Arabidopsis thaliana: one gene and its partners. The protein of the gene in region 4 interacts with the protein of the main gene of each other region in a pairwise test. Each region holds a gene or a part of one and is shown on either strand. Other genes may lie near its edges.

Evidence for each region.
Region 1: the proteins of SWI3C (region 4) and SWI3A interact in a two-hybrid assay, tested with the Arabidopsis thaliana proteins (one study listed by BioGRID).
Region 2: the proteins of SWI3C (region 4) and TCP5 interact in a two-hybrid assay, tested with the Arabidopsis thaliana proteins (one study listed by BioGRID).
Region 3: the proteins of SWI3C (region 4) and SPY interact in a protein complementation assay, tested with the Arabidopsis thaliana proteins (one study listed by BioGRID).

What each region holds. Positions count from the first base shown.
Region 1 is NC_003071.7:19,530,201-19,534,971, forward strand, and holds SWI3A (SWITCH/sucrose nonfermenting 3A), read left to right. Parts: upstream 1-1,746; 5' UTR 1,747-1,833; coding exon 1,834-1,891; intron 1,892-2,046; coding exon 2,047-2,567; intron 2,568-2,662; coding exon 2,663-3,109; intron 3,110-3,269; coding exon 3,270-3,409; coding exon of another isoform or gene 3,410-3,467; exon of another isoform or gene 3,468-3,494; coding exon 3,495-3,544; intron 3,545-3,630; coding exon 3,631-3,776; intron 3,777-3,874; coding exon 3,875-4,051; 3' UTR 4,052-4,271; downstream 4,272-4,771. Other genes in the region: AT2G47610 (Ribosomal protein L7Ae/L30e/S12e/Gadd45 family protein), read left to right, coding at 1-25, 145-346, 505-803, 885-977, 1,070-1,201; AT2G47630 (alpha/beta-Hydrolases superfamily protein), read left to right, coding at 4,437-4,466, 4,609-4,705. UniProt on the Arabidopsis thaliana protein: Component of a multiprotein complex equivalent of the SWI/SNF complex, an ATP-dependent chromatin-remodeling complex, which is required for the positive and negative regulation of gene expression of a large number of genes.
Region 2 is NC_003076.8:24,534,806-24,539,017, reverse strand, and holds TCP5 (TEOSINTE BRANCHED 1, cycloidea and PCF transcription factor 5), read left to right. Parts: upstream 1-1,773; 5' UTR 1,774-2,080; intron 2,081-2,310; 5' UTR 2,311-2,365; coding exon 2,366-3,448; 3' UTR 3,449-3,681; downstream 3,682-4,212.
Region 3 is NC_003074.8:3,630,341-3,637,890, forward strand, and holds the start of SPY (Tetratricopeptide repeat (TPR)-like superfamily protein), read left to right. Parts: upstream 1-1,546; 5' UTR 1,547-2,155; intron 2,156-2,475; 5' UTR 2,476-2,501; coding exon 2,502-2,897; intron 2,898-3,054; coding exon 3,055-3,216; intron 3,217-3,302; coding exon 3,303-3,478; intron 3,479-3,583; coding exon 3,584-3,659; intron 3,660-3,947; coding exon 3,948-4,076; intron 4,077-4,336; coding exon 4,337-4,456; intron 4,457-4,538; coding exon 4,539-4,607; intron 4,608-4,691; coding exon 4,692-4,773; intron 4,774-4,946; coding exon 4,947-5,041; intron 5,042-5,121; coding exon 5,122-5,186; intron 5,187-5,266; coding exon 5,267-5,465; intron 5,466-5,582; coding exon 5,583-5,777; intron 5,778-5,871; coding exon 5,872-5,966; intron 5,967-6,061; coding exon 6,062-6,197; intron 6,198-6,291; coding exon 6,292-6,509; intron 6,510-6,584; coding exon 6,585-6,712; intron 6,713-6,803; coding exon 6,804-7,207; 3' UTR 7,208-7,550. UniProt on the Arabidopsis thaliana protein: Probable O-linked N-acetylglucosamine transferase (OGT) involved in various processes such as gibberellin (GA) signaling pathway and circadian clock.
Region 4 is NC_003070.9:7,619,496-7,626,148, reverse strand, and holds SWI3C (SWITCH/sucrose nonfermenting 3C), read left to right. Parts: upstream 1-1,982; 5' UTR 1,983-2,170; coding exon 2,171-2,186; intron 2,187-2,324; coding exon 2,325-2,855; intron 2,856-3,381; coding exon 3,382-3,920; intron 3,921-4,076; coding exon 4,077-4,434; intron 4,435-4,526; coding exon 4,527-4,600; intron 4,601-4,795; coding exon 4,796-4,881; intron 4,882-4,976; coding exon 4,977-5,044; intron 5,045-5,145; coding exon 5,146-5,321; intron 5,322-5,417; coding exon 5,418-5,993; 3' UTR 5,994-6,148; downstream 6,149-6,653. Other genes in the region: OGG1 (8-oxoguanine-DNA glycosylase 1), read right to left, coding at 280-522, 639-849, 1,067-1,710; AT1G21695 (hydroxyproline-rich glycoprotein family protein), read right to left, coding at 6,364-6,653. UniProt on the Arabidopsis thaliana protein: Component of a multiprotein complex equivalent of the SWI/SNF complex, an ATP-dependent chromatin-remodeling complex, which is required for the positive and negative regulation of gene expression of a large number of genes.

The DNA of each region.
Region 1 (4,771 bases), on a different chromosome or scaffold from region 4:
GGTAGCTGCTAAGAAGAAGACCGCGGTATGTTTCATTTCCAATTCTCTTCTTCTTTTTTAGGTTTTCGAACATTCAATTTGTTCTTTGTTGTTGTTTTTTTCTTTCTTGCTGAAGTTTTGTGTTTTGATTTCTGATTTCTCCAGGAGAAAGTTTCAAACCCTCTATTCGAGAGGAGGCCTAAGCAATTCGGTATTGGTGGAGCTTTACCTCCTAAGAAGGATCTCTCTCGCTACATCAAATGGCCCAAATCCATCCGTCTTCAAAGGCAAAAGAGGATCCTGAAGCAGAGGTTGAAGGTCCCTCCAGCTCTTAACCAATTCACCAAGACTCTTGACAAGAATCTTGGTATGTCTATTTCATTCTCAATCTACTCTTCAAACATTTACTACTTGCTGCTGTTAATTTATTATTGAAATATTTACCAGTTCTGGTAAATCTTGTGTTGCTGTAACCTTATAAGAAGACTTCGGTGCCTTATTTATATTCGTTATTGATAATTGCAGCTACCAGCCTCTTCAAGGTCCTTCTGAAGTACAGGCCAGAAGACAAAGCTGCCAAGAAGGAGCGTCTTGTAAAGAAGGCCCAAGCTGAAGCTGAGGGAAAGCCTTCTGAGTCTAAGAAGCCCATTGTAGTCAAATACGGCCTCAACCATGTGACCTACCTCATTGAGCAGAACAAGGCCCAACTTGTTGTTATTGCTCATGATGTCGACCCAATTGAGTTGGTTGTCTGGTTGCCTGCTCTGTGCAGGAAGATGGAAGTCCCGTACTGCATTGTCAAGGGCAAATCTCGTCTTGGAGCGGTATGTGTTGTGGGTGATTTCTCTCTAGTTTATAGCCACTAGCATGGAGAGTTAATCTTTATTTCTTTCTCTGACTTTCAGGTTGTTCACCAGAAGACTGCTTCTTGCTTGTGTTTGACCACTGTCAAGAACGAGGACAAGCTAGAGTTCAGCAAAATCCTGGAAGCTATCAAGGTAAATACTTCTTGTGACCAATAGAATGGTAGATTGTGTGAAACATATTGTTGGAGATTCTTATGATTGTGTTTTTGGGTTTTTGTCTATAGGCCAACTTCAATGACAAGTACGAGGAGTACAGGAAGAAATGGGGAGGAGGCATAATGGGATCTAAGTCTCAGGCAAAGACCAAGGCAAAGGAAAGAGTTATTGCAAAGGAGGCTGCCCAAAGGATGAATTAAGAGGCTAGCTTCTTTTGTTTGTGGTTTGCTCGGATTCGTAAAACTTAATAGAGCTTTTTGTTTAGCTGGTTCTTGAAGTACCTCTTTTTTAGTTGAACCCTTTATTATGGATGTTTTGCAATTTCTTGGGACAGTTTCAATGTTATTCAAGCTGCTGGATCCTCTTTGGTCTCTCAACCACTTAAAACTTGACAGTGTGAAATTTTAGCCAAATGCTTATTGCATTCTGGAAAGAGTTATAAGTTTAATTCTCAAATTCTTTTACAGTTCATCTCATAATGATGTGCGTAATTTTTGGTCTTTATGGTTCGATGTTGGAGCAACCATATCCCTAACAACTAGAGTTATATAAGTTCATTAAAATTTGTAGCTGAAGACCAAAAAGTTAATAGTAATAAGTGGGCTTGACGAAATAAAGTTAACAACAAGTGGGCTGATAACTAGATAACAAAGTGGGCTGATAAAATAAAGATTGGGCCCAGATTTTAAATTGAGTTTTATTATAATTGACCCAGCTTCGGGCAAGTTTTCGCTTTTGACCCTTAACTAATTATTCTCCGTGTGGTTTGGATTTGGCGATTGGCAATAGATTCATCAGAGGTTTTTGATATTGGAGGGAATCGGTAACGGGCATGGAAGCCACTGATCCAAGCGCAGAGATCGAGCTCTACACCATTCCTGCTCAATCCAGTATGTCTTCTCTTACCCTCGCCATGCTTTTAGATCTCTAGGGTTTCTTCTTCTACTCTTTTTACTCGCTCAACTGTTTCCGTCTCTTAGGTTTCTGCTTTCTATGGTTTGTTTTCTTTGCAATTGATTTGGGGATTTGTCTTGTTCTTTACAAGGTTGGTTCTTATGGGATGATATACACGAAATTGAAAGACGCGAGTTTGCGGAGTTCTTCACTGAGAGCTCAATCACTAGAACCCCCAAAGTTTACAAGGAGTACCGAGATTTCATTATCAATAAGTTTAGAGAGGACACTTGTCGGAGACTCACCTTCACCAGTGTCCGCAAGTTTCTTGTTGGCGATGTCAATTTGCTCCAGAAAGTTTTTCTCTTCCTCGAAAAATGGGGATTGATCAATTTTAGCTCTTCCCTGAAGAAAAATGACCATCTATTGTCCGTGGATAATGCTAAAATAGAACAAGGGACTCCTGCTGGAATTCGAGTTACTGCAACCCCTAATTCTCTTAGGCCTATAACCGCACCGCCCCTTGTTGAGGAAAGAGTTGAGACTGGCATCAAAGTACCACCGCTTACCTCTTATTCAGATGTTTTCAGTGATTTGAAGAAGCCGGATCATGTATTGGTTTGTGCGCATTGTGGAGAACGTTGCGATTCTCCTTTCTATCAACATAACAAGGTAGTTTTTTTTTGCTTTTTTTCGATTAGCATATTTCATACTCTCTAGTCTGTTTTGTTTATGCTTCTTTTTTTTTTGACATATGATGTTGGCAGGGTATAGTCAACATATGCGAAAAGTGTTTCAAGAATGGAAACTATGGGGAGAACAACACTGCAGATGATTTTAAGTTGATTGGGAATTCAGCTGCAGCTGTGTGGACAGAGGAAGAGATCCTCCTCTTGCTAGAATCTGTGCTGAAACATGGAGATGATTGGGAACTCATTTCACAAAGTGTTTCTACCAAGAGTAGACTAGATTGCATTTCTAAACTCATTGAGCTCCCGTTTGGAGAGTTTCTGATGGGTTCTGCTTCTGGAAGACTCAATCCCTCTATCCTCACCGAGGATGAAAACACGGAACAGGTGCAAACTGATGGGCAGGAACATGAGGAAACAGAGACAAGGGAAGAAAAAGAAGATCGCGTGAATGAAGATGAGCCTCCAGCAAAAAGGAAACGTGTTGCACTGATATCAGAGGGTGATAGTTCACTTATGAAACAGGTGAATGTTTGGTTAAACTATATGCCTTGTGTTCATTATTTTCCATATGAGTGTAACATTCGGGTTCTTCTCTGACCTTTAACCGTCGCAAAGAATGCCCTTTTTAACTCCACTGGAAAAGAATGTTCAAGAGATAACATGTTTACATATTGCACAACAGGTCGCTGCCATGGCAAGTAAAGTTGGTCCATCTGTCGCAACTGCTGCTGCAAAAGCTGCACTTGCAGCTCTTTGTGATGAAGCCTCATGTCCAAAAGAGATTTTTGACACTGATGACTACAGCAATTTCACAGTTGATAGGTTCGATTCTCTAAGCCCTCAATTTGCTTGTGGTTTGGCTTCTCATGTCCTACACTAATCTCAAGATACAAAACTTTGCTCACAGAGCCAATGGAGAGAAAGATACAGATATGGAGGAACAGCAAGAAGAGAAAGGTAAATTGTGTTGTGATTCAATCTGCATTCCTAGGTTTATAATGAAAGCTCAAGGCTTAAGATTTGGAATCGTTATATATTTGCAGACGGGCCTCAGGGTCTACCTGTAGCGTTAAGGATAAGAGCGTCTGTGGCAACAGCTCTAGGAGCTGCGGCTGCACAAGCGAAAATACTGGCTGATCAAGAAGAAAGAGAAATGGAACAGTTAGCTGCGACAGTAATAGAACAACAGGTTGGTTGTAACTTGTAACAACATTAAAACATTTGTGTCTGTTCCACTGTGTTTGTGTCTTGAACCGGACATGTTTTGCTTCTCTTTGTTGTACTCAGCTGAAGAAACTGCAGAGCAAGTTGAAGTTTCTAGACGACTTGGAATCGATAATGGATGAAGAAGAGAAAGTGATAGAGGGTGTAAAGGAAACAATCATCCAAGAGAGGGTTAGCGTTTTGCAATGCGCGTTTAGAAGCGGTATTACCAAACGTTGGGATCATACGTACGTGAAATGATCTTCTTCTTTCATTCGTACTTTTTTTTTCTCTTGGGGTAGAGTTGTTTTCTCATTCCTTATGGATTTGTTATGTTGACTTTTGAGGATTATATGTATTTAGTATTAATGTGTTTTATTGACTTAATGAGGAGAGTAGGTTTAGGTTACATACCTCTTTTGTCGATATGTCTGACCAATGGATGGGTCTCTCTACTAATTCACACGCGCCCAGTGTGACGTCAAATAAATAAAATTCCGAAAACATTTTCTGAGCTTTCCATAATTTGGAAAAAAGTGAATTGAAAAAAAGAACAGTGACACTCTTGTTTCTATAAATTGGTGAGACCGTCCTCAAAACCCCTTCGTCACCTTCAGTGTCTCTCTCTCAAGATCTAGCTCCGGTCATGAAGTCGTCGGAATTCCAATACCACGAGGTTCTCTCTCTCTCTCCCTCTCTCTGCTTAGAGATTTTAGATGTAGTAGTAATAGTTTAACAGGAGAGTGAAGATGTCAAGAGGTGTTGAGATGATTGATTAGATCTTTGAATAAACAAATATGTGTATGAATTGGTGACAGGAATACGTGAGAAATTCAAGAGGTGTAGAGTTGTTCGCATGTAGATGGATCCCATCTTCTTCGTCTTCTCCCAAAGCTCTGGTTTTCCTCTGCCATGGTTGCAGTTATTTCCTTATTATTTCTAAAAGCCGCTTTCTTCATTACACATAATAAAACTGAACAA
Region 2 (4,212 bases), on a different chromosome or scaffold from region 4:
TTATTCCTTAAGCTTGAATTTACGTTAAATCAATTTTGAAAGAAATTAAGGTTTTGGCTTTGACAGACGTTACCAACCAAGCAATGACTAAAGGCGGCTTTGGTAGTGGGCTGCTTTAGACGACGGGTAGGTTTGGCAAGCTTCTTTGTTGGGACAAAAAAATTGTTGTGATAAATTTCACCACAAGTTTTATGAACATACATCATAATTAATATTGTTGCAGCATATATTAGTTAGACCAATATACCACTGACACCATCTATATAAAAGTTAGTACATGTCTATCACAGTACCAAAAAAATGAAATGTACAAGTCTATCTCGCTCTAAGAATAATTTGTGTTTAAAATATACCACCATATCCGGAAAGATCCTTGGAAATGCCTTTAATGAAGGCTTCCAATCGCCTTCTTAAAATAATCTGTGACATTGTGTTGTGATCATCTTAAAATGCCTTAAAATTGTGTTGGATAATCTACGGAACCGATGTGGAAAAAGAAATCCATGGAACCTTTGATTTGAGATGAACAGTTACCACAATTTATATGATCATTAAAATTATACGATATATAAGTGGTTCATATTTATTTAATATTTTCCCCATATTTAAGTGAGGACCAAAAAACTGATACAAAACTTTTTCTTGCAAAATTACAAATGTAACTTTGTTACAGTCAATTTCATCTCAAGATTACATAATCAAAACCAGAGTTCTTAATTTGAAACCGTACAGTACTATATATGCAGTAACTCAATATTCTTCGTAAACAACCAGTGTGGGTTAAAGGCGCGGTCAATTACAGAAGACTTTATATATAGTAGTGATCAAGTTGGATACAAAGAGGAAAGAAAATGGTTTGTGATTGTGGGCAAAAATCTCAGTGGCAAAGACACTTAGAAGAGAAGTGGACCACAAATCTCTTTGTGAGTATTTAGGCATTAGATGCTTTAAAGAAAAACCTATACTCGTTGGTCCATTCTCTATCTCAGAGACAGACCCTTACCTCCTCTAGCTGTCAATCTCTATTATATTTACTTATATATGTTGATATTAAAACAAAAAATTTATATATATGGATATTTTCTATATATGCTTAAAAATATAACCCACAAGTAGTTAATTAGAAATAAAAGCAGTATTCCCAACAGTTTGATTTTAACAAGTCTACATTTCATTATCACTAAATTTAGGGTTTCAACAAGTTGCTTCGTTAATAATGAAATTCAACAATTTATCTACAAATAAAACTTTTCATTTTCCAAAACGACAGAAACTCAAATGAAATGAGCGACGACTGTAAATAAATTGGTCTTTCCATTTGTTTATATTATGAATTTTTTTGAATTTACTAAAATTTGGTTTCATAAAACTTTCAAACTCGATCTTGTATATATATATGTTTCACAGTTCAAAGTTCAAACCACTTTTACCATTATTAATTTACTATACATGTACTATATTTTTTTTTCACTTTAAAAGCTCTTGTTACCATTTATAACTATTAATTTGTCAACCGTACACTTTCTCTTAAATGACCTTAACCGTATGTTTATATTTTTGTTTAAGATAAGAAGACAACATAGATCACAAACTTGGGTAAAAATTAAATCATATAAAATTCAAAATGAATGTCTAACACCAAGGAAAGGGAACCAAAACTTGAATACTAAAATATATTAAAATTTATTGTAAAGGTTTTTTTTTTGTCAACTATTGTAAAGTTTTATATATATAAGATTTATGTGACTGTGAGTGTAACGAAACATGCACATTCCCATCACAGTATCAATACACTACATAAATTGCTCCTCTTTTGTCCTTCTGCATAAATTCCTTTCATACCGAAAAAAAAAAGCCCTAGGGATCGGAATATAATACTTAAAAATATATCTAATTCATTTATTATTTAACTTCCCCAATCATTATAATATACATATGTAATTCTAGTTTCCAAAAAAAGAAATACTACACATTCCTCTGCCTCCTTATCTCTTTCTTATTCTTCTTCTTCCTCCTTCTTCTACTTCTCTATCAAGCTGGATCTTGAAATAGGACTCAAGCTTACCAGTATTCAATCAACGTAAGAACATATAACCTTCAACATGTTTGAATTTCAAATTCTTATGAGCTTTCTTTTCTTTGATGCAAACTCAAGAAAGAGATATTATTGCTTTGTTTTCATGTGAATCTCGCTCCAAAAACATATTTAAAATCAACAATTTCATTCAATTGAAAGCTAACAACAACTAATTCTTGTCTTCTTGATTTATTTTCTATTAAATTGGTCAATTTATTCCCTTCTTGTTTCAGATCTGTTCTTTACACCAAATTGAGTACTGAAGATCTTGTTGAGTGAATTAAAGAGATGAGATCAGGAGAATGTGATGAAGAGGAGATTCAAGCAAAGCAAGAAAGAGATCAAAATCAAAATCATCAAGTAAACTTAAACCACATGTTGCAACAACAACAGCCGAGTTCGGTATCATCTTCAAGGCAATGGACTTCAGCTTTTAGGAATCCAAGAATCGTTCGAGTCTCAAGAACATTCGGTGGCAAAGACAGACACAGCAAAGTATGTACAGTCCGTGGTCTTCGAGACCGGAGGATAAGGTTGTCCGTACCTACAGCTATTCAACTCTACGACCTTCAAGATCGATTAGGGCTGAGTCAGCCAAGCAAAGTCATTGATTGGTTACTCGAAGCAGCAAAAGATGACGTAGACAAGCTACCTCCTCTACAATTCCCACATGGATTTAACCAGATGTATCCAAATCTCATCTTCGGAAACTCCGGGTTTGGAGAATCTCCATCTTCAACTACATCAACAACGTTTCCAGGAACCAATCTCGGGTTCTTGGAAAATTGGGATCTTGGTGGTTCTTCAAGAACAAGAGCAAGATTAACCGATACAACTACGACCCAAAGAGAAAGTTTTGATCTTGATAAAGGAAAATGGATCAAAAACGACGAGAATAGTAATCAAGATCATCAAGGGTTTAACACCAATCATCAACAACAATTTCCTCTGACCAATCCGTACAACAACACTTCAGCTTATTACAACCTTGGACATCTTCAACAATCGTTAGACCAATCTGGTAATAACGTTACTGTCGCAATATCTAATGTTGCTGCTAATAATAACAATAATCTCAATTTGCATCCTCCTTCCTCGTCTGCCGGAGATGGATCTCAGCTTTTTTTCGGTCCTACTCCTCCGGCAATGAGCTCTCTATTCCCGACATACCCTTCGTTTCTTGGAGCTTCTCATCATCATCATGTCGTCGATGGAGCCGGTCATCTTCAGCTCTTTAGCTCGAATTCAAATACCGCATCGCAGCAACACATGATGCCGGGTAATACGAGTTTGATTAGACCATTTCATCATTTGATGAGCTCGAATCATGATACGGATCATCATAGTAGCGATAATGAATCAGATTCTTGAATGATTTTATATATCTACACTATACATTGAAAATGTTATATGTATACGTATTCTTCTATATTTTGATATATATGCGTATTGTTGGATTGGTTTATGTATCTTCTTCGTGTATGTATACACTTTTTAATAGTCTCGGATTTAGATTCGAACAAAGACATTCATAATGCGAGGATGGTTGTTATTTCTATATATGTTTTAGTTTTGAAGGTAGTTTTTGCTTCCTTAAGAAATTATATGAATTCTACTTGAATGTCTTTCTCTATTCATTTATGAATATATACACTCGAATAAATGAATTGTACAATATAGGTATCTCATAACTAGCTAGCACTTTCATCCTAATCCATAATCTAGATTAGTTAATCATATTTCATATGTTAGGATTTAGGTTTTACATATATGGAATTTTTTATTGTTATCACGAATGTGAGAAAGTGAATAAAAACGCAAAGAACAATAATACTTTTCAAAATAGGATGGAGGAAAAACAGATTCAGAAAAAGAAAAAGAAAAAAAGAGTATTAACATAACCCTAATTCAACTTTAAACCAAATAGGTCCATCGAAACCCATATGCTATTCTACCATCGTATGACCAGATTCAAAGCATTTCACCAATCACCATTATATATATATATATAGGCATCACAATGTTGCTAAGAAAAAACATTATGTAATTTTTTTAATCAAAATATGATATGATCTATCTTAATCATCATTATGCAATGATTACATAGTCAGGACTTGAATTGGATATAATCGTAT
Region 3 (7,550 bases), on a different chromosome or scaffold from region 4:
GTTCTGATTACCGGAGATCGAGTCTTGAATGATCGCCGGTGACGATAAAAGAGAAGGTGATGATTTCGTTGTTCCCCTTAGAGAGATACAGAAGGAGAGAGCCCAGAGAGGAGTCGCGATTTGAGAGCAAAATGAAAATTAGTGACCGGTCAAAATTGGTTTTCTCACCGTTCATCGATTTCATCTTTTTGGTTTGGTTGGTTTATTTTGGTTATAATTGGTTTCCAGGATTGTGGTTTTGATAATACAGCTAGTAGTCGATTTTAAAATATCACAAACTAAATGACATGAAAAAAAAATTACGATCAAAATTTGGGTTGCAAGGACCACATAAAACTCATTCCTAAATCATACGTAATAAAAATGATTTTATAACTGAAATTTTTAACCAAAGTTCATACCAATCATCAAAATATGTGAAATGCTAAATATTTTTTTCTTTTCATTTTTTGTTATTTAAATGCAATCAACTATGATTGAAACTGCATCAACGAAAAAGTATTATTAAACTATTAAGCAACCATAAGTTGAGTTGATTCGTTTCCATAATTTTAGTTAGAGTACGTAAATCTCCATCATAATACACTATCTATGCTATCATTGTTTGTTTTTTTTTTCTTTTTTTTGCTAAGAATGTAAATATCATTAGAAATGAAATGTTTGGTATTACAAGAGACGTATTACCTAAATTAAATTAACCTTGGCAAAAAGAAATAAAAACAAGGTTAAGATAAAGAGTAGTTAATCAGGAGAGATTAATGGATCCAAAGTAGCATAAGTTGTTTCCAATGCTTTCTATGTCTTCGAGAAGTAATGGTATTGCGCACCTCACGATCTATGCTATCATGGTTGGTGCGTTTATGACATGCTGCTGCTGGTGACGATTCAAAAGTGTTTATCAGTTGTTCATTATGATGCCATTGTGATGTACCATTACTAATTTCTTACTTAAATAAGGTGTTGTTTTTTGTTTTGCTCCAAATAATAAGGTGTTGTTTAAAAGGGGCTCTTTCGTTTTGGAGTAAAAGTCTCTCTGAGTAGCTGTATATTATTTAAGTAGCATAGTCCAATTATTTGACAATGAAAAAAAGTGTATAGTCCAATGAATACCAAATGAATTGACGTCACCACTAGTTGAGACCTGAGACAAGCAAGTGATCGTTAAATCAAGGAGAACGCAAGTGGACGAGGCCGACATGATCCTAACTATTGGACTCCCACTTGTGAAACTTACTTGATCCATTTCCCACTTCATAATTTCGTAAAAAAATTAAGACAATGAGAATGAATTTATTTATTTATTTTTCGGTAGAACAATGATTTTTATTTTGTCCAAATAAAACAATCGTGAAAAATTATGTTTTGGACATTATCAACTTTGTGAGTAAAACAAATTTTGTAGTTTCTTTTAACCAATATTTTCGAAGTCAACTTTTTTCTACGTGTGAGTGTATTGAGTAAATGATAGATATGTCAATAATAACATAACTCATCAATCAATCTGGCTTCAATAGAACTAGAGAAGTTATAACGTTTTTTTTTTTTTAGACAAGAGGGTTTTATAACTCTAGACTAGTTTCATAGTCCATGAAAAAAACATCAAATCTCCTAAATGGCTGGACATAATTCAGATGATTTTGTATGAAATAAAACATAAAACATATATTTTCTTGCATATCTGGAGATTTTTGTTTCTTTATTACAATGACTAATTAATTTACCTTGTTCCTTTTTATTTTTGCAAAATGATTACTGTTATCTATTTTGTCCGTTTCTAATAAAATAAAATAACAATCTGAGCTGTGGAAAGAAAAAAAAAGGAAAAGCGAGGAGAGCTAATCTGAGTCGTTGCCTCTGTCCACTGGCTCGGACCGACCTCGTACCTCTTTCATTTGTCCTCGAGCTTATAATAGAGGCTACGCCGTCGCCGCCACCTCCGCTCCATCCATTCACGGCCAAGCGACGACTCCACCGCTTAGGCTTGGCGTCTGAGGTATACTGATCAACGCTTTCTGTTTTCGGAGGAGCGAGGCGGAGATCAGCTTCTCTTATGTCTACTCAAACATATCATTCTTCTTTAGCCACTCGATTTCTTCTCTAGCGGCTCCAGAGGTTTCGTCGCTACAGAGTCAAGTTCCTCTTTTCAGGTTTTGTGGTAAGTAATCGTTAAACCCTAAGTATCGGACCTTGTTGTTTAATCTGTTCGTGTTTACTCTCAATTACATATGCATTCTTCTGCTTAATCGTTTCTTTTAGTTTAATTTCTAGGGTTTACATCCCAAAGGTCTGATCTTTTTGCATATTTGTGTGAATCTTAGTTTTTTTTTTTTTTTTTGGAATTGAATGTGATGAGTTGGGTTTGATACTGTTAAAGATCAAATCTTTAGCTTCGTTGAAGCTTCATATTTATGTCAACAATGCAAGGTTTATTTTTCTTCCACCTTTGATTTGATATTTATAATTGTTTCTTTGAAGGTGAACAAGATTTTAGTTACAAAAAAATGGTGGGACTGGAAGATGATACTGAGAGAGAGAGGTCACCAGTCGTAGAGAATGGTTTTTCCAATGGGTCTCGGTCTTCTTCTTCTAGCGCAGGTGTTTTGTCTCCATCACGAAAGGTCACTCAGGGGAACGATACACTTTCTTATGCCAATATTCTTCGGGCAAGAAACAAGTTTGCTGATGCGCTTGCTCTCTATGAGGCTATGCTGGAGAAAGATAGCAAGAATGTTGAAGCTCACATTGGAAAAGGGATATGCTTGCAGACGCAGAACAAAGGGAATCTAGCTTTCGATTGTTTTTCTGAAGCGATCAGGTTGGATCCGCATAATGCTTGTGCCCTTACACACTGTGGTATACTTCATAAAGAAGAAGGACGCCTCGTAGAAGCTGCTGAGGTGCAACATTACATTACCTTCTATCTGTGATGATTTGCATTAGAGGGTGCTGCATTAGTTAGACCATTGAACTTGTTAAATTGGTGATATGCAATTATGCATTAGGTTTTTTGCTAGGTAATCAGTTTCTAACGATTAATCATCATATTTTGCACAGTCCTACCAGAAAGCATTGATGGCAGATGCATCATACAAGCCAGCAGCAGAGTGTTTAGCCATTGTTTTGACCGACCTTGGAACTAGCCTGAAGCTGGCTGGGAATACTCAGGAAGGAATTCAAAAGTATTACGAAGCCCTTAAGATTGACCCACACTATGCTGTAATTTTCTGTTCCTCTACCATTTCACACTCTTGGTACCATTTAACTGATTCTCTAATTCAGTATGTTATAATATATTTATGCAGCCTGCATATTACAACTTAGGTGTTGTATACTCCGAAATGATGCAATATGACAATGCCTTGAGCTGCTACGAGAAGGCTGCACTTGAGAGGCCTATGTATGCTGAAGCATATTGTAACATGGGTGTCATTTATAAGAACCGTGGTGACTTGGAGATGGCAATCACTTGTTATGAGAGGTAGCATATCTGTTAATTCATCTCTAACTGTTGACTGGTTTCTTGCTACTTTGTTGAACGTGCAAGTAAGGCGCTGATTTTTTTCTCTTCTTCTTCTGCCTTTAGATGTCTAGCTGTGTCTCCAAACTTTGAGATTGCGAAGAACAATATGGCCATAGCTCTGACAGATTTAGGAACAAAGGTAAGAATCCTTAAATTTTATCACAATTTATAACTCAAGTATACTTTTTGTAAGGGGCGCCTTCTGGAAAATTCGTTATAAAACTTCGTTTTGTTTAGCTCCCCTTTGTGCTGTGTGTGCTTTGTACTTATGTCACGGCAATGGCATTGGAATCTGTTTATGTTCTTTACTAGTGAACTTTTGCGCTGAATAATTTTGATTTGCAGTTTCTTAATCCTTCTTTTCCATTGGCGAGAAGCTGTTCAGCTGTGAGTACATCTGACTTGTCAAATGTCAATGATATTTCAGGTTAAACTTGAAGGCGATGTAACCCAAGGAGTGGCATATTACAAGAAGGCTCTCTATTATAACTGGCACTATGCAGATGCTATGTACAATCTTGGGGTGGCTTATGGAGAAATGCTAAAGTTCGACATGGTATTTAATTTGTGATTTGTTCATTTCTGTAAGTCAGTAATGGTGTGGTTGTTATCGCGTGTTTATCCTTTCCTCGCCACTTTACTCGCTTGATAAAATGATATATATCTTGACTAGTTTATCTACCTAGATTTTTATCCTTCTCCACATGTTCTCGTAATTAATCCAAAACTCTGTATGTAGATCTCTATATTATAATGGAATTGTAGAGCCAAAGAATGAAATATGTCTGTGGTCATGATTGCATTCTCAATGTGCAGGCGATTGTCTTCTATGAGCTTGCTTTCCACTTTAATCCACATTGTGCTGAGGCTTGCAACAATTTGGGAGTACTTTACAAAGACCGTGACAACCTTGATAAAGCTGTGGAGTGTTATCAGGTAATATTTTTGCAGATATCTGTAGCGTTTCATGAGAATTTCATTGTGTTTGGTGGCTTATTATATCTCCCAACCTATGTAGATGGCTCTATCAATCAAACCAAATTTTGCACAGTCGCTTAATAACCTTGGTGTCGTCTATACAGTCCAGGTTTGATATATATTAAGGGCGGCTTAATGTTTTCTTAATTGAATCTCCTAAGTCGATAGAATGCCAATTCCTCTGATATTACAGGGGAAAATGGATGCTGCTGCCAGCATGATTGAGAAGGCTATACTTGCTAATCCCACATATGCAGAAGCTTTTAACAACCTAGGTCTGTTTTCTCATCTTCTGTTCTTTACGAGCTTCCTCACGTGTTACAACTGCTTAGAAACTATATTCCTTTGAAATTTAGATTTTATGTTTGTCCTTTTGTTTCTACCTCCCTGGCGCTAAGAGTCTTGTAGTGTCTGTGATAACCAGTTTCATGGTGCGATTCAAATGTAGGTGTTCTTTACAGAGATGCTGGAAATATAACTATGGCTATCGATGCTTATGAGGAATGCCTTAAGATAGATCCAGATTCTCGCAATGCTGGCCAGGTATCTATACTTTAGCGTGGTCTTCTTGTTATGAGGTTGAAAGATATATGTGTTTAAAACCTTCTTGTCCCCTTTTGTAGAACCGATTGCTTGCCATGAATTACATAAATGAAGGACTCGATGACAAACTATTTGAGGCTCACAGGTAAGCACATATATTATTAATGTAGATTTGTATTATGTTGCTTTTATGGGTCTTACAGTGAAAAAATCTTCTGAACACAGAGACTGGGGTTGGCGCTTCACAAGATTACACCCTCAATACACTTCATGGGATAATCTGAAAGATCCAGAGCGACCTATCACCATTGGATATATCTCACCAGATTTCTTCACTCATTCAGTATCTTATTTCATTGAAGCTCCCCTTACGCATCATGATTATACAAAGTACAAAGTGGTGGTTTATTCAGCGGTAGTTAAGGTAGGATTTTTACCTATATAACTTATATAGATACATTTTCCCTCTAAGCAATTCATTTCCTGGTTCTCGTGGCATTTTTCCCTTTTGAGCAATCATTGGTCTCTCATGGCTTTGCAGGCAGATGCAAAAACATACAGGTTTAGGGATAAAGTGTTGAAGAAAGGTGGAGTTTGGAAGGATATATACGGGATAGATGAGAAAAAGATAGCAAGTATGGTCAGAGAGGACAAAATCGACATTTTGGTAGAACTCACTGGTCATACGGCAAACAACAAGTTGGGAACAATGGCCTGCAGACCAGCACCGGTTCAGGTGAGAGGATATATTAAACCTATCTCATTTTGTTGTTTCGGGTTTTGCCTTTGACTTTCCATTTCAAGTGTACTTATATTGGCTAAGATACCAGGTTACTTGGATCGGCTATCCAAATACTACGGGTTTGCCCACTGTTGATTACAGAATTACAGATTCGTTGGCTGATCCACCAGATACCAAACAAAAGTACGTTTTGGTTCAAGATGCAATTTTGGGTTTCGGAAGTGCTCCAAATAAAAATCTTAATTTTTATTTATTTATTTTGTGATATTTGATTGCAGGCAGGTCGAGGAGCTGGTTAGGCTTCCGGACTGTTTTCTTTGTTATACACCTTCCCCAGAGGCTGGTCCTGTTTGTCCAACACCTGCGCTTTCTAATGGCTTTGTCACATTTGGTAGTTTCAACAACCTCGCAAAGGTTAAAAAATTTGTGTCCTTGGATTATGCACACCAATCTCCCCTAGTATCTCTTTCAATGTTTTGACAGGTTTATCTCTGTTTGTGCAAATCAGATAACTCCTAAGGTGCTGCAAGTGTGGGCTAGGATACTGTGTGCAGTTCCCAATTCTCGTCTAGTGGTAAAATGCAAACCTTTCTGCTGCGATAGCATTAGGCAGAGGTTTCTCACCACGCTGGAGCAGCTTGGGTTAGAATCAAAGCGTGTTGATCTCTTGCCTTTGATTCTTTTCAATCACGACCATATGCAAGCCTATTCCTTGATGGATATTAGGTAAGATTTGACACATAGTGCTCTGTAAAACACCGAGGCTTATAGATTCACATATTTAATTTACATTTATTGCAGTTTGGACACATTCCCTTATGCTGGAACTACCACTACCTGTGAGTCTCTCTACATGGGAGTTCCATGTGTTACAATGGCTGGCTCAGTACATGCTCATAATGTTGGTGTCAGTCTTCTCACTAAAGTTGGTAAGCTCTTAGCAAAATTTTTTTTTTTTTTTTTGCAAAAATTGTTGTTAGTCGGACATCTTTTAGCTAATTCAGCCATTTCTTGATTCAGGATTAGGACACCTGGTTGCCAAAAATGAGGATGAGTATGTTCAGCTATCTGTTGATCTAGCCTCTGATGTCACAGCTCTTTCTAAATTGAGAATGAGTCTCCGGGATCTAATGGCTGGATCTCCTGTTTGTAATGGTCCTTCCTTTGCTGTTGGTCTTGAATCCGCATATCGGAATATGTGGAAAAAGTACTGCAAAGGTGAAGTGCCGTCCTTAAGGCGAATGGAAATGCTGCAAAAAGAGGTCCATGATGATCCCTTAATCTCAAAAGACTTGGGACCATCAAGAGTCAGCGTTACTGGAGAAGCCACTCCGTCTCTCAAGGCCAATGGTTCTGCTCCTGTACCTTCCTCTTTACCAACCCAATCCCCGCAGCTCTCAAAGAGAATGGACTCCACTAGCTAGATAACCAGCAAATCGAGCTGCTGCGAAATGCCGGCAGAGAGTCTTGACCCATCTGGAAAAGGTGTGAAAGAAAGAGTCGATGAGCTTTTCCTGCTATTTACTTCCAAGACAATAGGAACTAGACTTTAGATTACTGCTTGTGTAGTAAAAAGAATAGTAAAACCAGCTCTTTCTTTTGTTGTATCTCTTTCTACTCTTAGTTTAGCTTTACATGATTCTTGGGAAGTCGTTAGGTGGTAGTGGATTTGGAGTTTTTCTTCTCATTTGAGAGATCAAGTTGTTGTGTATCGATTAGGGTTTTAAGGCTTTTTAGGATGTTTTCATGTGTTGGATTTTGACTCAT
Region 4 (6,653 bases):
GATAAAAGGAAAAAATTCTCATTTCAAATCAAGAGAATTGCAAAGGGAACAAACAATTAGAATTTAATTTGGAAGTTTGAATGTAAAGTTACAAGTACATATCAAGATTGGTTCCTTAGTAAACAATGATCATAACAAATAACTACGCTCATTTGCCAGGGAGCCAAATACTGCATCAGCTTCAGAATTTTCTTAGCTCTTCCAAGGTCAAGTTTCTGGACTTGACGCATCAAGAATGGGTTGTGAAAACGATTCCTCGTAGCTTAGGTAGACACATAGTCATGGCTTCAACGTATCACAGCTAGTTTCATTAACTTCTGCAGACTCATCCAGTTTGTTAATGGGCTGGGAAAACGATTGCAAGAGAGTTTTTTGTGCAGGTAACTCGGCAATGAAAAGCAATGTTTGAGCCCAACCAGCATATTCACCATATTTACTCACAAAGGCTTCTGCAACTCGGCCATGGAGTTTAGGTGTCAGTTTTGCACCAGCAAGGTCTGGCAGTAGATAATTTGTTGCGATCTGATCCATTATCCAAAACAGAACAAAAAAAAAGTTGCCCGAAGTCATCATCACCATTATGTAATTGGATCTCAATTAAGTAAGTACAATACATAGAAACCGATGGACTTTGTTACCTGCCAGACATGTGTGTCAACCGGAATAGCACTATGCTGATCAAGAGAAAACAGAGCTATGCAAGCTGCTACCTTCGGACCAACACCAGGTAATGTACACAGCGCAGCAACTGCCTCTTGGAGTTCGACTTTGCGCAGAGAAAGAAGCCATTCATTACCACCACCTGGCTTTGCTTGCAAAGCATTCACTGTACCTGTTATGTATTTGGCTCTGCTCACCACAAGATAAACCAGAATGAGAGTTTTCAAATGAGATCAGAACCAATCAGAGAAACGGCCACACAATGATTATCTAGCTTAGACCAAACATTAGCTTCAATTCTATGAATGTATAGCCACAGAGTAAATAAAAGTATAAGCTTCAAGCAAAGTTTTAGCCTAAATGTCTAATTCAACATAATGCAACCATTAGAGAGTGATGAAATCACCTGTAACCAAAACCAGCCTTTCTAAACTCTTCCTCAGAAACCCTAGATAATCGATCCAATGATGGGAACTGATGAAACTCAAATCCATCAATGTCACCCAAATGTAACCCTAAAGACGAAACAAAATCCACCATCTTCGTAATCCTCGCAATGTTATTGTTCGATGAGCACAAAAACTGTATCAAGCACTCGAGCGGATCCTGCCTCAACACACGAGCGCCACGGAGATGTCTCGCTAGCTCTCCGAAACGAGGATCTTTTTTCGAGAAATCAGACCATAGCTCAGCTAACGAGATCTCAGCATTGAGAAAATCGAGCAACGCAAGCTCCGCGGATTTAGGGCTTGTGCTACAATGGACGCAGTAGGAAACTGCGTCGTCTCCTGGACGTTGTCTAAGAGAGACTAAGTGAGGCCCAATCGTTCCGCTATACTGAATCGCTCCAGTTTTCTTCCACCGGAATGTTTGACCCGTCGGAAAAGTTAACGGCAACGTCAGCTCCGTGTGGGTTAGTTTTAACGGGAACCATTTAGGTGTTCCTGTTCTGTGTAGCTTCTGTTTGAGAATCGGTGTGACCGGCGGAGACAGTGGTGGTTTGACGGTGGAAGAGATCGACGGCTGAGATGTAGGTCGAGGTCTCTTCATCGCCGTTGCTCGTTAACGGAACCACCACACCAGTATTAATGCGCGACGGTCGACTAATGTATCAATTTAAACCGGTTTAACCAATTTGAACTTTAAGAACCGAACTAAATAATTGATTCGGTTTTTCTCATTCAAAATTGAAAAATAAAACCGAAGTAAAGTTGACTTTAACCGAAGTTAAACCAAAATTTGGATTGGTCAACGAAGCTTGAATTTCGAAATCAGAACCCTCTTGTTTGTCGAGAAGGTTAGGTCGTCGTGGAGAATGAATTAATATATAGAGATTAATGAAGGAAATGGTGAAAGAAATTGCGAGAAAAAGGTTTGGTGTTTAGCTCGAGAGCTGGAAATCAGAACGACTCGGAGGAGAGAAGACAAAGAAAGCAATTCTTTTTACTAAGGGTCTTGCTTCGATTCCACAGAACCCAAAACCTCTATTTCTCTATCTTCATCCACAAAAATGCCAGCTTCTGAAGGTAAATTGCTGTTTCACATCTTTATCTCTCTCAAAATCCAAATTTAAATTGGGATTTGACTTACCCACATAGATCGTAGTGATGGGTATTTCGAGAATTCGTGTGAATTGAATTACACTTTTTACAATTCTGTCGCAGATAGAAGAGGGAAATGGAAAAGGAAGAAGAGAGGGGGGTTATCGGCGGCGAGGAAACCGAAACAAGAGGAGGAAGATATGGAGGAAGAAGACGAAGAGAATAACAACAACAACAACGAAGAAATGGATGACGTTGAAAATGCCGATGAGCTTCAGCAAAACGGCGGCGCAACTCCCGATCCGGGACTTGGTATTGGCGAGGTAGTTGAAGATTCTGGTTCGCGCATCTCTGATTTCCCGGCAGTGGTTAAGCGTGTTGTGATCCGGCCACACGCGTCTGTAATGGCTGTTGTGGCGGCTGAGAGAGCTGGTTTGATAGGGGAGACTAGAGGGCAAGGTTCACTTCCAGCTCTGGAGAACATTTCGTTTGGGCAATTGCAAGCGTTATCTACTGTACCTGCTGATTCTCTTGATCTTGAGAGGAGTGATGGATCGTCTTCGGCTTATGTTATCTCTCCACCACCTATTATGGATGGAGAAGGAGTTGTTAAACGGTTTGGGGATCTGGTTCATGTCTTGCCTATGCATTCAGGTGTGTTTTTTCTTCCTCTTGATACGCGCATTTATGTTAGAGGTTAGGCTTTATGCAGCATCAGCTTTTGCTGGTTGGTAGTATTGTAGTATATATCTTGTGATTGGAATGAGAATTAGTCAAAACAGGTTTGTATGCCGGTATCTCCTTAACGTATAAGTTCTTATCTTCCTTTTGTCTAGTGCCTGGTTCTTAGTTTACATTAATCTGAACGCGACTCAATTTCATATCAGATGTTTCTCTATGTTCCCATGTTCTGTCTGATGGAAAGGAAGAGGTATTATAACTTTTGTACATGATAAATTAGAGTACCTGCTGGCTTGAAGTAGCCTTAGGTGTCTTATCTCAGAAGTACAACTTGAATAGACTATGCAAGTGATGTTCTTCTAATTCGTTTGGGTTTTGTTCCTGGAGTCCTATGGCTCAAATATATCGAGATTCTCCTCTTATTTTATTTTTATTTTCTGATATTTTTGTTCCCAATGCTCGAATTTATTCTTCTACTTTTGCTGTTACATTTGAGCAGATTGGTTTGCACCAAACACAGTAGATCGACTTGAAAGGCAAGTGGTGCCACAGTTTTTCTCTGGGAAATCGCCAAATCATACACCCGAAAGTTATATGGAATTCAGGAACGCCATTGTTTCCAAATATGTAGAGAACCCTGAAAAGACACTGACGATTTCTGATTGCCAAGGATTGGTAGATGGTGTTGACATTGAAGATTTTGCACGAGTTTTCCGTTTTCTTGATCACTGGGGAATAATCAATTACTGTGCCACTGCCCAGTCACATCCTGGCCCTTTGAGAGATGTATCGGATGTGAGGGAGGACACAAATGGCGAGGTCAATGTGCCGTCTGCTGCTTTAACATCTATTGATAGTTTGATCAAATTTGACAAGCCCAACTGTAGACACAAGGGGGGTGAAGTCTATTCATCCTTGCCAAGTTTGGATGGTGACAGCCCTGACTTGGACATCAGAATTCGTGAACACCTATGTGATAGTCATTGCAACCATTGTTCTCGACCGCTTCCAACTGTGTACTTCCAATCGCAAAAGAAGGTTCTTAGGCTGCTTCCCCTTACGTACTGTTCTTTGTGTATCATTATCTGATTCTTTTTTGCACCCAGTGATGTAATAGACTCCAAGCTTTATCTTGCTTACTGTCTCGGATACTGGACCGCTTCTAACTAAAGGATCTTCATCTCTACTTTACAGGGGGATATACTCTTATGCTGTGATTGTTTTCACCATGGAAGATTTGTTGTTGGACATTCTTGTCTTGACTTTGTAAGAGTGGATCCAATGAAATTTTATGGCGATCAAGATGGAGACAATTGGACTGATCAGGAAACTCTCTTGCTTCTTGAAGCTGTGGAACTCTACAATGAAAATTGGGTTCAAATTGCTGATCATGTTGGTTCCAAGTCAAAAGCTCAATGCATTCTTCATTTTCTTCGATTACCTGTGGAGGATGGTCTATTAGATAATGTTGAGGTTTCTGGTGTAACTAATACGGAAAACCCTACAAATGGATATGACCACAAAGGAACAGATTCAAATGGGGATTTACCTGGTGATTTTGTTTTATTCAATTTGTAGCAATGAATTACTTTCCATAGTTATTTCCTTTGACATGCCATACTAATTGTCCGCTTGCGTCTGCAGGATATTCCGAGCAAGGTTCTGACACTGAGATCAAGCTTCCATTTGTGAAGTCTCCGAATCCGGTTATGGCATTGGTTTGTGAACTTTTTTCCGATGCAGATTTCATATGCGCTTCTTATTATCCTTATGATCTCACCAGTTAGAGATATCTCTGATCCATGAATCGATTATATCTGAGAGCTCAATTGTATGCATATTTTGAGTGGAGAATGGTCCTGTATTGCACATAAGTTTGGAGATATGAGGATCCTGATACCAAAATATTTTAGGTTGCATTTTTGGCATCAGCTGTTGGACCTCGAGTTGCTGCGTCCTGTGCCCATGAATCCCTCTCGGTTTTATCTGAGGACGATAGGTTAGTGTATTATATAGTCTCTATCCAATATAAATTCTCTGTAGTGTGATTCAGTTTAATAATACTATGGACTATTCTGAAACTTCTTGATCTAGGATGAAATCTGAGGGAATGCAAGGGAAAGAAGCCAGCTTGCTTGATGGAGAAAATCAACAGCAAGATGGTAAGGAAGTTATTTGATTGTTCTCTTTACAGTGATTCTTTGCTCTTTTGTTTTAACCTAATCTGCGACACCAACATGCTTTAATTGTAAAAAAAACTCAGGAGCACACAAAACATCAAGCCAAAACGGAGCAGAAGCGCAGACTCCACTGCCACAGGATAAGGTTATGGCAGCATTTAGAGCCGGTCTATCAGCTGCAGCAACAAAAGCAAAATTGTTTGCTGATCATGAGGAACGCGAAATCCAGAGACTTTCTGCTAATATCGTTAATCACCAGGTAAAATAGCAGAACCAGTTGCTGATGAGAATTACTGTAGGTAGTTGATTTATTTTGTTGTATAGTGTTTATTGCTGATCTGAGTAAAAACCGCAGCTGAAGAGGATGGAGCTGAAATTAAAGCAGTTCGCAGAAATTGAAACACTGTTGATGAAAGAATGCGAACAAGTAGAGAAAACCCGTCAGAGATTTTCTGCAGAACGGGCTCGTATGCTCTCAGCAAGATTTGGATCTCCTGGAGGAATCTCTCCACAGACTAATAATCTCCAAGGCATGTCTCTATCCACAGGTGGTAACAACATCAATTCTCTCATGCATCAGCAACATCAGCAACAACAAGCTTCCGCAACTTCTCAACCAAGCATAATCCCAGGATTCAGCAACAACCCGCAAGTTCAAGCACAGATGCATTTCATGGCACGACAACAACAACAACAACAACAACAACAACAACAACAACAGCAAGCTTTCTCGTTTGGCCCGAGATTACCTCTCAATGCAATACAGACCAATGCAGGATCAACAGCTTCACCAAACGTCATGTTTGGCAACAACCAACTAAATAACCCTGCAGCAGCTGGAGCAGCATCGATCAACCAGCCTTCGTTTAGTCACCCGATGGTTAGGTCTTCCACAGGTTCAGGCTCAGGGTCCGGCTTAGGCTTAAACTAAGATCCATCTTTCTCTAGCTTATTTAGCTTATCAGTATCCATATTTATTTCACCTTGTTATTTTTAAAGATAAGTTATTTGGCTTTGAGACCGTAGTCTTGTTCCAAGTTAGTGTCTTGTAGTATCAAACCATCATCATCATCATTGTGAATTAAAACAGTCACCAATCTTAATGTCTCTCTTTCCCACAACCATTTCTCTACTCTTCAAACATTAGGGGTCTTTTAACTCGATTCATTTTGACGATAATATATAGACAATTTCATTACAAATCTACATGTAACATATTCGTTCTTGTCGCAATGAAAAACTCAAAATCATTTTTATTTGATTAATCTCTAAGATGTTTTTTTTTTTTTAAGCCTAACCATTTAACCAAGGCGGGAACGAGCTATCATTAACATGGTTTTTTTCTCATAAGAGCTTAAATCCGAATCAGTCCGTTTTAGCGGCGAACCACGGCGAGAAGAGAAGGACGATTTCGGCGAACTCCACCTCGAAGATACCGGCGATCCCTGGCTAGAATCTTCTTCCGACGGAGAAAGCGTTGTTCCCGATTCATAGAAATTGTCAGACTCCGATGTTGTTGATGATGGTTCCTGCTGACCGGTCTTTTTTAAATCGCCGCTCTTACTCTTTTTCAACCCAAATAATGACTTGG